Linked DNA regions of Tamandua tetradactyla. The protein of the gene in region 1 purifies or fractionates together with the protein of each later gene. This does not show direct contact. Links are inferred from orthologs where the notes say so. Each region holds a gene or a part of one and is shown in the gene's direction. Other genes may lie near its edges.

What was found. The genes of interacting proteins can lie anywhere in the genome.
Region 2: the proteins of NOD1 (region 1) and RIPK2 purify together in Homo sapiens (affinity purification with western blotting; 4 studies listed by BioGRID and IntAct, with this or other methods). This does not show direct contact. The link is inferred for Tamandua tetradactyla from reciprocal best matches to the Homo sapiens genes NOD1 and RIPK2.

What each region holds. Positions count from the first base shown.
Region 1 is NC_135327.1:92,674,750-92,682,426, forward strand, and holds the start of NOD1 (nucleotide-binding oligomerization domain-containing protein 1), read left to right. Parts: upstream 1-4,633; 5' UTR 4,634-4,988; intron 4,989-5,013; exon of another isoform or gene 5,014-5,858; intron 5,859-7,033; exon of another isoform or gene 7,034-7,093; intron 7,094-7,677. UniProt on the Homo sapiens protein: Pattern recognition receptor (PRR) that detects bacterial peptidoglycan fragments and other danger signals and thus participates in both innate and adaptive immune responses.
Region 2 is NC_135332.1:133,084,775-133,092,011, forward strand, and holds the start of RIPK2 (receptor-interacting serine/threonine-protein kinase 2), read left to right. Parts: upstream 1-4,169; 5' UTR 4,170-4,636; coding exon 4,637-4,809; intron 4,810-7,237.

The sequences.
Region 1 (7,677 bases):
TTTTTTGCTTTAGTCTCACACATAAGGTGAGATTTTAAAATATTAATTACCATCTATTTTGAGCTCCCTGCAGTAATGACATTCCTTTGTTCTTCCTCATCTCTGCATTATTTCTAACAAGTGTATGTGAATTTATAATTACTTCAAAATGAGAAGTTTAATTAAAACCAAGCAAAAATGCTGAACTATTTTTAAAAAATAAAATGATGGAATCAGGAAACTATTAAAAATGACCAGAAAGAGAGCAAGACATCCAGCTTCTGAGCAGGGACCCTCGTGTTATGCAAGCTGAGAGAGTGGGTCCAAAGTGGATAATGTTGAGACGAGGAAGATTTGTTCAGAAGCGTGACCAGTGCCACACTGTGGAAAAGGGAGGCAAGCACAAGACTGGGCCAAATCTGCATGCTGTGTTTGGGTGGAAGACAGGTGAGGCCCCTGGATTCTCTTATAGAAACTCTAAGAAGGACAAAGGCACCACTGGGGGAGAGGAGACACTCATGAAGTATTTATAGAATCCCAAGAAGTACATCCCTAGAACAAAAATGATCTTCGCTGGCGTGAAGAAGAAGGCAGAGAGGACAGACTTGATAGCTTATCTAAAAAAAATCTAATGAGCAATAGTTGGCTACTATGTTATTTATTACAAAACAAATGTTTTGTGACTTTTTTTTACATGTACCATATTTAAATTGATCTCATAAACTAGAATTCATATCAAGAATGACTGATAGGAAATTTTTTGTTGGACAGTTGTGTTAAATAAGATTGGCTTATAATTAATGAATATGATCAAGCTTTTTGAATTTTTTACTTTTTAAAATTTTTATTGATAAAATTTAACATACAAATATTACATACATGGTGTACAATCAATGGTTCACAATATCATCACATAGTTGTGTATTCATCACCATGATCATAGTTTTGAACATTTGCATCACTCCAGAAAAAGAAAAAAGAAAAAACTCATACATACCATATCCTTGACCCCTCCCTCTCATAGACCATTAGCAATTCCCTCTACCCAACTTATTTTAACTTTCATTCCCCCTATTATTCGTTTATTTTTATCCATGTTTTTTACTCATCTGTCTATACCATAGATAAAAGGAGCATCAGACATAAAGTTTTCACAATCACACAGTCACATTGTAAAAGCTATACCATTATACAATCATCTTCAAGAAATAAGGCTACTAGAGCGCTACGGTTTCATATACTTTCCTCCAGCCACTCCCACACGCCATTAACTAAAAAGGGATATCTATGTAATATGTAATAATAACCTCCAGGATAACCTCTTGACTCTGAAATCTCTCAGCCACTGACAATTTATTTTGTCTCATTTCTCTCTTCCCACTTTTACTCAAGAAGGTTTTCTCAATCTCTTGATGTTGGGTCCCATCTCATCCCGGGATTTCTGTCCCACATTGCCAGGGAGATATACACCCCTGGGAGTCATGTCCCATGTAGGGGAGGGGAGAGGGCAGTGAGTTCACTTGCCATGTCGGCTTAGAGAGAGAGAGAGGCCACACCTGAGCAACGAAAGAGGTTCTCTTGGGGGTGATGCTTAGGCCTAATTTTAAGTAGGCTTAGCCTATCCTTTGCAGGAATAAGTTTCATAGGGATGAACCCCAAGATCGAGGGCGTGGCCTACTAATTTGGTTGTCCCCACTGCTTGCAAGAATATCAGAAATTCTCGAAATGGGGAAGTTGTATCTGCCCCTTTCTCCCCAGTTCTCCAAGGGGACTTTGCAAATACTTCTTTATTCACTGTCCAAATCTCTCTGGTATTTATTGGATCATCACACTAACCTGGACAAATCAACACAATCTCATGCCCTATTCAAGATTCCATGTACTTATGGTGTTCAACTAAATTGACCATACAAGTTAAATTCAGAAATGCACTACCCAAAATATAAATTTTGCACCAAATAAACATCTTCCCCTTTAGTCTCACACAGAAGTTGAAGTTTTACAGATTCGATGTCTCATCACCTTTACAACTTTTAAACAACTTTTTTATGTCAGACTAGTGACTTTCATAAGCTTTTTGAATTTTCATAATAATTCTTATTCAGCAAGTGCTATCACTATTTTCCCCTTCTAAAGATATAATTGGACTTGAGACTGGGTTGAATTAGTAATATTCAACTTTTCACAAAGATAATAAATGCCAACTCAGCCTATAGGAGATTGATTTTTTATTTTATTTTTTTGTATGCTGAATGGCGGGGGCACATTTCATTCTTTTTCCATGTGAGTAGCCCATTGTTTCAGCACCATTTGTTGAATTTTGTTTGTCTCTTTGTTTTGTTTGTTTGAGAAGTGCATGGTCTGGGAATTGAAACTGCTTCTCCCACATGGCAGGCGAGAATTCTACCACTGAACTACTAGGAGATTGGTGTTATATTTAGATTTATATAACTGTTTTTATGAATATACTTAAGCACTAAGGAAATCCCTTCGTTGTCTCATAGAACAGAGCAAAACTCACCTGTATTTCAGTTGGTGTTCATCAGCCTATTTAAAGGCAGGGGCTGAAAATAAGCTATGTCCGCTGTATCTTCTCAGTCTTTGCTGTGTCAATCTAATTAACATTCCCCATATCTGAAATGCCTTTTAATCAACAAAAGGCATATTGGAGTAGTTTCTACATAACACCAAATAAAGAGTACTGAACACGTCTCACCTTTAAAAACTTGATTCGGAAAACTAGAAACAGAACCAAGAAAACTCTTAGAAAGTAAATACATAATTTTGAAATTAAGAAGCTAAAGGAAAGGTGTATTGGTTTCTTTTGTCTTTTTTTTTTTTTGTATTGGTTTATTATTGCTGCTGTAAGAAGTTACCACAAATTTAATGACAAAACAACACATTTATTATCTTACAGTTCTGCAAGACAGAAGTCTGAAATGGATTTCGCTAGGGCTGAAATCAAAATGTCATGAGGGCTGCCTTGGGGGAGAATGCATTCACTTGCCTTTCCCAACTTTGAGAGGCAACTGCCACTTTTTGGCCCCTTCCTCCAACTCTAAAGCCAACCGTGTTGGCAGAGCCCTTCCCAGGCTGCCATCTCTGGGGTTCTCGTCTTCTGTCTCCCTCTTTCACTTCTAAGGACCCTTGTGACTATGTTGATCCCACCTGGATAACCTAGGGTAAATTCCCCATCTCAAGGTCAGCTGATTAGTGACCTTAATTCCCCTTTGCAGTGTAACCTAAATAGTCACAGGTTCCACCATTAGGGCATGAACATCTAGGGCTAAGGGGACATTGTCCTGCCTACCTCAGATGGGTTAAACAGAAGATTAAAACCTCTACAAAATAATTGATGAATTGAAAGGTAGAACTGAAGAAACTACTCCAAGGAAAACATGAGAGCTCAAAAGACATGGAGGACAAAATTCAGAATCCTAGAAGAGAAAAGGTTCATATAAGGGTAAATGGGAGGACTTTGTATCTCAGATTCTCCAATTTATTGCTTACAAGTTAACACATTGTATCACAACAATGTTATGTTTGCAAAGTTTCACTTTTGAGTCATGGTCAAACTTTCATTTTCTCAGAAAGCAGCTTTTGATGGGAATTTTAGTATTCATGACTATATGTCGTAATATGATTGAATGTACTTTCTTAGTGTGCTAAGTAAGTTAACTTTTTTAAATGCAATTTTCTGAGATATATTCACACAGCATAGAAACTACCCAAAGTGTACAATCACTGACTTGCAGTATCATCACATGGTGGTGCATACAGCCCCATGATCAAATTAAGAACATTTTCATTACTCCTGAAAAGAAATTAAAACAAAAAAGAAAACCCAGCACATCCCATCCTCCTTATCCCCCATATTATTGACCCACAGTGTTGGTGAGGTACATTTGTTCCTGTTGGTTAAAAAGTATTAAAATATTACAGTTAACTATAGTCCACAATTTGCGATAGGTACACTTTTCCCTATATAACTACTAACTCCTTACAATAGCAACTTAACTTTCTAATAGCATCAGTATGTTTTATGTAGACCTTTCCCATTTAAAACCTTAAAAAGAACTGTATTGAGAAGTCTATTAGCACGTTAAAAAGTTCCTTTACGAGTCATTACAGCATAACATACAGAATATAAAACGAACACTGTCTAGAACAGATGTGAGAGGAAGAAAATCTTAGATTTGTAAAAAGTATAAACTGAAGCATATGCTCTGTAGTAAAAAGTTTGATCAATTTCAGCTCGTTTTCACCCGGGAGCATGCGTTGGCCTTTTGACAAGTGCTGTCACGCCCAGGCGTCGGCTTTGGTCGCCGGTGCTGGGTCTGCACTGTTGAGGGGCCCGGCCTGAGCTGACCGCGCGGCGCCGTTCGCCCTGGGCCTCTGGCAGCGGGTGCCCTGTGGGGCCGCCACAGGCTGCTTTCCGCGCGCACGCCGCTTCCCACACCCGGCCTCAGCAGTCCTAGCAACCGCCTCGGGGCCTCTCTCCGCGGCTCGCTGGGGCTCCGGGAGGGACGCGGCCGCTGCTGCCCTCCCGACCAGTTCCCGTTCCGGGCCGGGGAGGCAGCCGCTCAGGCCCTGCCCTTGGCGCAGCTGCGGGCTCGGCGTGGTGCCCAACCACGGTGCTCTGCGGCCACTGCGTTCCCCGGCGCCGCGCTCCCGGGCCCCGGGGTGCTCCTCCCCTGGTGCGCTCCCCGGCGCTCCCGCTTCCAGGTGCTGGTGGCCTGGAAACTGGCGGCCAAAGTAAGTCCCAGCGACTGGGGGTTCGCGCGTGGGGGTTCGCGCGGAGCCGACGCTTCCTGGGGTTGCGGGCGCTGCGAGTGAGGAGGCGCAGGGGGCTGGGGTCCGGGATGCCGCGAGCGGGCGGAGCGCGACTCTGCTCAGGAAGAGCTTGGGTGGGACACCGCAGAGAGACCGCGGAGTTCGAGGAATGAATGCAGTGGAAGTTCAGAGGGATGAACTTCAGCGCCAGCGGAATCTCTCCACTCTTGTTGAAGGTACGGGCTCTCAATCCTGGCTGCCCCGCCGTAGGATCACCTGGGGCGTATCCTAGACCAATTCCATCAGAATTTCTGCGGTGGGACCCAGATCCCTATATATCTTGCTGCTGTTTCCTCTGTGCAGCCAGGGTTGAGAACCATTGATTAAAGGGGGACCGCCAAAAGAAGGTGGAAAGACGGGGCCGGGGGCTGCCACGCAACGGGCACTCCCAGAGTTCTTCTTTGTCCTGAGAAGTGGAGGGTGGACTTCCCTCCGGCTTCGTAACCGCAGGGAAGGGGAATGAAGCGGTGCTTCGCGGGGTCCCTTGACTGTCGTGTTAAAAGAGCCTTGAGTGTGCCCAGTCTTTTGGAACATCCGCCAGGATAGACGAATTACAATGCCACGTTCTGCATTCTGAGAAATTCCTCTGTCAGGTTCTGAAATTAAGTCGGGAGAAGCCAGGAAACCCGTGGCCTTGTGTTCTATTTCAAGGCTGAAGCCAGGTGGGCGTGCCAGAGCTGGGTTTATCCCTCCTAAAAGCCTTCCGATTAAGATTTCCAGTGTCCAGGGCACAGAACTCTACCATGGACGCTAGAGAGGAGTGCATTCCACAGGATGGCCGTGCCTCCTACTGTCCTCACTAGAGGTAGACGCTGTGCAGGAAGCTGCAATCTGGGCAAGCAGGGCCTCTGGACCATGGACAGATTTCTGCTGCATGTGCCTGGCAGGGAAGAAAAGTAGATTTGAGGCAGCAGCAGAACGGTAGGAGAAGAGGGAACTTTCAAAGGGCCTAAGAAGAGTAGGTTTTATTTTTGTGGAATGGAGAAATAAATTCAAGCTTTGGAGCCTATCAAATCTGGGCCTAAATTCAGACTGTCACTTCTGTGGTAAGTGACTTGACCTTTTTGAACCCTGTTTTCTTACCTGCAAAATGGGAATGAAAATAGTAACTTTCTCTTGGGGCTTAGATAGTTAAAGAGAATGTATCAAATGGCTGGGAGATGGGAGGTGCTCCAGCACAGGTAGTTATCAGCCATACTGTGGGTGATGAGTGTCCAACAGTTGTTTATTTAGCCCGCTGCTCTGAGGGAGAGTGCAGTCGGAGCTCCACCCATGCCCCTCTCCTGCCCTGCTGCCCCTGCTCAGGGGAGGGTTCCATGGTTCCTACCCCTTACTTTTTAGTGCTTTGAGGTCTGGGATCTCAGACCACAGCCTTCTTCTTTTCTCTGATGAATGGCTCTAGAATATAGTTTCACCCCATGTGACAGGAATGGATTTCTTGACGAAAGAAATTTGTATTAATAAAAGATGGGTCCCAGGAAAGCTGGATTGTCTTTAGGGCCTCAGAGACAATGTGGGCACACACACGGGTCTCTTGTGGGTGGCACCCTGAGACCACGCCCCTGCCATCCCTGCTTTGCTCTCCTGGGAGCGGTGAGAAGGTCCTTCTGCAATGAGCAAGGACAGTCGGGGACCTAGGGCTGGGGGAGCCCACATCCTGCAGTTGCTGATGCCGCCTCCCAGCTGAACCGCTCACCCTGGTACCCGTTCTGCGGTCACTGATGGTCAATAAGAACTGCTCTTTTTTTTTGCTCAGTCATTTTGATAGTAATAGCAGCACTGTTTAGCTTAGACATATATAAACAGTGAGGTAATGTTGGCATCAAGATCAAGTGTTTTTACAATGATATTTGCTCAAATGAGAATATCCAGGTCTTGTCTCTTATCAGCAAAAAGCGTTTCAGTATTTGTTCAAAATCCAAGACAAATCTAGAATTTGAAGTTTGTTATTAGGTCCTTCCATGATATTTTTTTGTGGGGGGTAGAGGTGGGTTGGGTGGATTTTAGGCAAGATGAAGGAACTGGAAAAGCTCAAATCTGCAGTTGTGCTGAATTTGTTTCATTCAGAAGCTGTCGGTATTTCCCAAGTTTGGGGAGGTACTGTTTTATCCCCCCAAGTTTTCAGAAACCCTGTTTTCTTTTATGTTTTGGAGAAAGACATTTGTATGTCACACAAAGGGCCTCCTTTCATCCTACCACAAAGGCCTCAACTTGTTTCTAGGAAACTCTTCAAATGCTCATTGAGGGCGTCTCTTCCAAACCCTGACTCCTTTGTTAAGAGGTAAGTAGTTGCTTGCCATTTGAATTAATTGGTGGTTTGTACTCAGTGCTAGAAAGTTTGTCAAAGCAAGACTTCTTGGCTTGAATTCTTGTTGAAGCATGTGTTTTCACTAGAACAGCAACAGGTTAACCTGTGGGCAGAGACGGCAGTGCAGGAATGGTCAAAGCAAGCTTGCCCCACCCCCACCCCCACCCCTACCCTTCGCCACCCTTCCAGCCTGGGAACCCTGGAATCAGCTTACCCAAAGGGCTGGGGGTGCTGTCCCTTTGAGGGGATATTACCTTGACCCTCTGATGGGGCAGGGTTCCCTAGCAAATAATGTCCATCTTTTACGCCAGCAAGGCAATTTTCATTGTCTTAAACTTTGTTAAAATCACTAGGTTACTCTTGTGTAAACCACCTCTTTGCAATTTATTTTGCCTACTAGACCTCTTCCTGTAAGTTATAGAAAGCTGTAGTTTAAGGGACTAAAAATGTAGCTCAGTGCAAGGGTCTAGGTAATTGCCAAGTTAGTACCAGGTTTGGGTAGATTGATATTTAATAAAACATAAAAATGCTCCGTACTTATGGGTTTGTTTCAGAAT
Region 2 (7,237 bases), on another chromosome or scaffold:
GTGGAGTTATACAGAGAAGATAGGTTTTAACAAATGAACATGATTACTAAATCATTAAATTGATATTTTAGTCTCCAGTATTTTAGAGCAGCTAGAAGTAAAAACCTAAAATTGAGGAACCGTAACCCATACCAAAACTCTGAAATCTGTTCTACAACTAATTGTGGTGCTGTGCTTTGAAATTTATTGCTTTTTTGTATACGTCATTTTTCATAAAAAAGAAAAAATGTCGATTGTAATGATAAAAAGTATTTATTCCTTCTAGCCTTCTATATTCTGGAATAGCTAGAAGGAAAAATCTGGGAGAATGGTATGGCAGCCCATGACAAACTCTGGGATCTGTCCTGTAACAATTGGTTGAACAGTGCTTTGAAAACTATTGCTTCTTTCTTTCTTTGCTTTGTATATATGTTATATTGTACAATAAAAAAGTTTAAAAAAAAAAAAAGAACAACCTTGAGAATTCAATGGACCACAGGCTTAATCTAAATTAATAGTTTAACAAGACTGCTGAAAGAGAAAAGAAAAAGAATCCTGTCTTCCATTGCATTAATAGATTCACATCAAAGACAAGCCCAGCAAATCTCACTCTCATTGATTATATGGAATTTCGAACATTTAGACATAAGAGGATACTGATGAAGTAAAATGGATTCACAGGAAAACAACGAAGCCACTGTGAGTCTGAAGACAAGCTGAAGTAAATAAATTCATATGCCAAGTATTCCCGGTGTCCGGCTATACAAAAAATACAAAACAAACAAAAAAAACCAGCATGTACTTTTCTGACTCTCATTATAACAGACTTTTTGTCATTAAATACATCAGGTGCTCTTTGAGACACTGTTTTCTGGGGAACACTGTATCAACTGACACTCGCACCATTACTGTAGGAGCATTCTATCTGCCCCATATTTTCATCCATACTTGTTATATTCTTTTGAATTTTAGTCATTCTAGTACGTGTGTAGTGGTGTTGCAATGTGTTTTTTAATTTGTAATTGCCTGGTGGCTAATGATGTTGAGTATTGTTTCACATTTATTTGCTTTTTGGATCTCCTCTTTTGTCATCCTCAGTTATGTACAATAAACATTAATAAATCAAAACTATTGAAATTGCCTACACTCTTCACTCAATAACCACCACAGAATAGTTTGAAGAAATGTTTCTTCCTTTCTTCTATAATTTTTATTTTTCATAGAATTATAATTGCCTCATTTTTCTCATTCATTTTTTTCAAATAACCAAACAATATAATTTCTCAAAAAACTCAAAATTAGCCTATAAAGTCAATTATTTTAAATAAATCTAGCAAAAAAGTACAAGTCTATACTCTGAAAACTACAAAATGTTGCTGAAACAAATTAAAGAACACAAAAATAAATGAAAAGCATAACATCTTCATGGATTAGAAAACCTAACATTGCTAAAACAGCAATGCTCCTCAAATTAATCTACAGACTCCATACAATCACTATCAGAATCCCAGCTGATTTCTTTGTAGAAACTGACAAGCTGATTTTAAAATTCATGTGGAATTGCAAAGGACCCAGAATAGCCAAAACAATTTTGAAAAAGAAGAACAAGGTAAGAGGACTCACACTTCCCAATTTCAAAATTTACTACAAAGCAACAGTAATCAAGAAAGTTTGGTACCGGGCGGGCCGCGGTGGCTCAGCGGGCAAAGTGCTTGCCTGCTATGCCGGAGGACCTCGGTTCGATTCCCGGCCCCAGCCCATGTAACAAAAACAAAAAAACAAAATACAATAAAACAAGAAAATGTTTAAAGATGTTTCCCTTTCTTCCTTCCTTCCTTCCTTCTCTCTGTCTTTCCTTTAAAAAAAAAAAAAAGAAAGTTTGGTACCGGCATAAGAACAGAGATATAGATCAATGGAATATAATTGAGAGTCCATAAATACACCCATACATCTATTGTCACTGATTTTTCAAGAAGGATGCCAGGACCATTCAATGAGGAAAGAATTGTCTTTAAAACAAATAGTGTTGGGCAGGCCACAGTGGCTCAGCAGGCAGAATTCTTGCCTGCCATGCCAGAGACTAGGGTTCGATTCCCAGTGCCTGCTCAGGCAAAAAAAAAAAAAAAAAAAAAAAGTACTGGATAAACTGGATAGCCATAGGCAAAAGAATGAAATGGGACCCTTTCCTCATACCACATATAAAAATTTACTCAAGATTGGTCAAAGAACTAAAGATAAGAACTACAACTGCTAAACTCTTACAAGAAAACACAGAGTTAAGTCTTCCTGATATTAGCTTTTGCAGAGATTCTTAGATGTGACATAATAAGAACAAACAGCAAAAGAAAAAATAGGTAAACTGAACTTTGTGAATATCTGAAACTTTTGTGCTTCAAGAAAGTGAAAAGAAACCCACATTATGGGAGAAAGTATTGGCAAATTATGTATCTGATAAGGTTTTTGATATTTGGCATGTATAAAGAACTCTTACAACGAAAAAAATTAAAAGATAAATAACCTAATTTTAAAACAGGCAAAGGATCTGAATAGACACTTCTTCAAGGAAAATACACAAATGGCCAACAAACACACGCAGAGATGCTCAAGATCAGGGAAATGTAAGCCATGACCATGAGATATCATACCACACCCGCTAGGATGGCTAATAGAATAGAAAAGTCAGAGAACATGTTAGCAAGGCAATGGAGAATTTGGAAGCCTCAGACAGTACTGGTGGGAATGTAAAATGGTGCATTTACTTTGGAAAAGAGTCTGTCAATTCCTAAAATGGTTAAACGTAGAATTAAATGACCAGCAATTCCACCCTTAGGTATATATCCAAAAGAAACGAAAAACCTGGTTCACAAATGCTTAGCGCAGCATTATTCAAGTCAAGATAGAAACAACAAAAATGGCCATTATCAATGACAAACAAATTGATAAACAAAATCTGGTATATCCATACAATGGAATATTATTTGGCCACAAAAAGGAATGAAGTACCAATACATGACACATATTGGCTGAATATCGCAAACCCTATCCTAAGAAACCATTCACAAAATCCCATTTATTATCTGATTTCTTTCATATAAAAGTACAGAACAGTGAAATCAGAGACAGAAAGCAGATTAGTGGTTGCTTAGGGAAGTAATAGCTAAAGGGCATGGTTTTGTTTGGTTTTTTTTTGGAAGTGATGAAAATGTTCTAAAATTGACTGTAGTGATGGTTGCAAATATCTGCGAATTTACTAAAAATCACCGAATTATACAGTTTAAATGGATGACTTGTATGATATGTGAATTATATCTCAAAAATTGTTTCAAAAAATACAGAAGCAGTGATTTTCTGTAGGCAGAATTCCTCCATTTAAGTCAGGCATTCCTTAGTATCGTTGCCTTAAAATTCATTAAATACTTAGTGTGGACTTGTTATGGAATATAATGTTTGCATTCATACTCTATGCAACTACACAATAGTCACCTAAGTAGAAAGATGTTTGTCAAGAAGGGTGGAAAGACAGATTTTGTTGCTGTTGTTGTTGGCATTAAGGACTGCGTGCATTTCTCCCAGATCTGTAGGAAATAAATCCTTGCAGTCTTACCTGGAATCAGAGGCAAGGGCTCTTTCAGGGTCATTTTCAGTATCTCTCTATATAGTTATGGAAATTAGGGAGGAGAAGGAAGGCAGATTCCTAGTACAGGAGCATATAACTAGAGCTGAACCACTGAGCGTGCTGCACTCCTATAGGGTTTATCAACTACCTCTCACTCCTCAAGTAACTAGAAGTGAGGGAAGACGGGCGTCTAGTTCGGCAAATTTACCGTTACGGCCACGCCGGGCTCATTTTGTGTGGGGCCCTAGGAAACCACCAGGCGCCCAGAAGCGCTTTCTGCACAGGCGCAGAGTCGCCACGCGAACTCCGCTCGTCCTCCCCCTACACCTCCCCCTCCCCCTCCCCTTACCCCTACCCCCAGCCCCACCCGCTCCATCTCCATCTCCCGACTTTGGGCCGGAAGAAAATTCGCCGGGCTGGGAGGGTCCGCTCACCAATCGGACTTCAGCCAGCAGGCCGCTGAGAGGGACTTCCCCGAAAGGAAAATTTCCAAACCCGGGGCGGGGGAGTGGGGCGGGAGGAGAGAGAACATAAGAAGCGCCCCCGGGTCCCTCCCCGTCCCTCACTTCCCTGGCCCAGCCGCAGCCTCCCCGGATCTCCCGGGGCTCACGCGGGGCGGGAGTTTGCCCGGGAGGCCTGCCTCTCGCGGGCGCAGTGTCCGCCACTGACGTAGCCTGAGAAGTTTGGGGGGAGGAGCTCGGCGGCCCGGCCCGGGTGGCGGGGTGCGGCTGGGAGGAACCCGTCCCGGATAGGAAGCTTCTCCTTGGCAAGGCGCGGCGCTCCTGAGCTCAACACTGTTTCCAGAAAAGAAGCGTCCGCTCCAGCTCGGAAGAAGCAGCGGGCGGTGCAGGATCCGGCGTGAGCTGGAGAATGGGCGACCTTGTGACTTAGTGTTCGGAGTAGGAAGGCCCTCGCTTGCCTGGCGCAGGGGCGCTTCCCGGAGCCCGAGCGCTGGCGGAGAAGCCGCAGGAACGGCGGGGCCGAGCCGCGGCGGGCAAACCGGGAACCAGCCTTGGCCAGAGTGTCCGCGCCGCCGCAACCATGAACGGGGAGGCCATCTGCAGCGCCCTGCCCACCATCCCCTACCAGAAGCTCGCCGACCTGCGCTACCTGAGCCGCGGCGCCTCGGGCACCGTGTCGTCCGCCCGCCACTCGGACTGGCGCGTTCAGGTGGCAGTGAAGCACCTGCACATCCACACTCCGCTGCTCGACAGGTAGGGCGCCAGCGCGGTTCCCGGGCCGACCCCGAGACCAGCTGCACCCCTCTCCGCAGACGCCTGTCCGGGGCCAGCGGATTTTGGATCCCAAACGGCAGTGACCACTCCCCTCATCAACTCTTGGTTGTTCTGCAAGGCCTGGGGCTGGCGTGGTGGGGAGAGCGCGCTGGCTCTGCGGAGGCAGCAATTGGACTCTTACGCTCATCTCGTGTAGCCTCTGCCCTTTCTCTTCTGCCCTCCTTTCCTCCTCTTTTACTCTCCTAGGTTTCCTCTCTGCATTTACTAAAACCCAGCAATAACAGCCCAACTCTGAATGCCCTATTTATTGAAATTGATGTGTGTTTTTCGAGGGGGCGTGGTTGTGTTTGCTTTGGTTGTTTCTGTGTATGTGTGTGTGTGTTTAAGTGGTTCTAGAGCTGGGCTGTCCTCCAATACGTTGCTCGCAGTAAGCCACAGGCAATCTTTGAGCTCTTGAAATGCGGCGGTCCAAATTGAAATGTGTTGTAATTGTAGAATATACACCGGATTTTGAAGACTTACTATGAAAAAAAACCATCAAATATTTCTGTATTTCATATGTTACGTGCTGAATGGTAACTTTATCCAAATTCATTTTTCCTGTTTCCTTTTACTTTTTACAATGCTACTGCTAGAAATGACATATATGGCCCCCCTTGTATTTCTATTGGACAGCGCTCCACTACAGTCTGAGATATTTTAGAGGTTTGAACTTTTTGTTGTTTTTGTTTTGTTCGTGGTCGTGAAAGTTTAAATATCAAAACCACACCCAAAGGAAATCTGTTTTATTTTTGCACTAACATAAGCTGAGGACTGTTAAATGGTCAAAGAAAATGCCTCTGGCGTCCTGGAAAAAAAAATAGTGCAGTGTATAGGTTTCAAGGGAAAGCTAGCATTGATTTCTCTTTCCAGGGAAACTGCTATCATACTTGCAGACCTGTGGCTGAATGTATTAGTTAGTGGGTCCAGTCACTAGTTTTGTGTTCTGTCCTTGCAATAGGGATTTAACTAGGTAGGCCCTGCACTAGTTAAAATTCCTAAGAGCAGCACTCTGTTCTTGACCTGTACCTAATTCAAAATACTTGGTACCAGATCCCTGATTGGATACAAGCAGTTAGTGTCCAATATCAGATCGAGTCCTCAGCTTTCAGCCTGCCAATGTTACTGGATTTTCACCTTCCTGTACCCTTTCTTTACGGCCTCTTACTATCAGGCTTGGGCGGGCTGTAGATTTGGGACGCTTCTGGAGATTGTCCCCCCTTTTTGTATGCCATCATCCCAGGACAGTGACATACAGGGTGTGGTGTCTGTTTACCCTGGGCCTGTAATTCTGTGGAGCAAGTGCTGAGCAAGTATGTGTGTGAAGTCAACTTTGAAGGGTGTTGGTTGGTCAGAGAGGGTGGATATATTTTAGAACCATCTATGCAAATGGAAATTTAGCACTGAGGGACCCATACGATATATATTTTTTAAATTTATTTATTTATTAATTTAAAAATTAAGAAGCCAAATAAAACATCAATGTATATAATCAGTAATTCACAATATCATCACTTAGTTGCATATTCATCATTTCTTAGAACATTTGCATTAATTCAGAAAAAGAAATAAAAAGACAATAGAAAAAGAAATAAAACAAACACAGGAAAGAAAAAAAAAAGATTGTACCTACCATACCCCTTATCCCTCACTTTCATTGATCACTAGCATTTCAAACTAAATTTATTTTAGCATTTGTTCCCCCTATTATTTATTTTTATTCCACCTATATGATATTTTAAAGCATGTTGGTCCTTCTCCCGTTTTGAATGCTGCTGCTGCATCTCAAGATTTTAATTTAAATTCTAAGCTTTGTGCCATTTGGAGGCAAAAGAGTGAAGGGGGAGGGAAAACATTCTCCCTCCATACTCATTACACAATTTTCATAGTCTAAAGGTCGCCTGTAGAATTGGGTAGGAAATTAATTCTGTCTTCAAAGAAGCCTCAAAAACAAGAGAAATGCATTGAACTTACTGTGGCATTGCCATACCTCCTTCTTTTGTACCATTTGTTACTTAAGATCTTAATATTAGCAGTATTTTTGTAGTCTGAGTTTAAGGTTGAGCCATGCAGTTGACTCACAAGGTGTCCATTTCCTCATTTATAAAGTGGGACTAATAAATACATGTACTTGGGCCCTGGCATGGATATTGGTTGAATTGTTCTTTTAGATCAACTGAATATAAAAAGATTTATGTTCATGATATATGTCCTTATTTTAGTGATTGGGGAATCATTCTTCATAACCTGCCTTCTACCAATGAGAAAACCTTTGCCAAAACCTCCCCACCCACAAGGAGTAGAGGAGTATGACTGGTTGTTCAGTTACTCTATACGCAGCATGACCATTTTTTGACTGAGGTTTTAA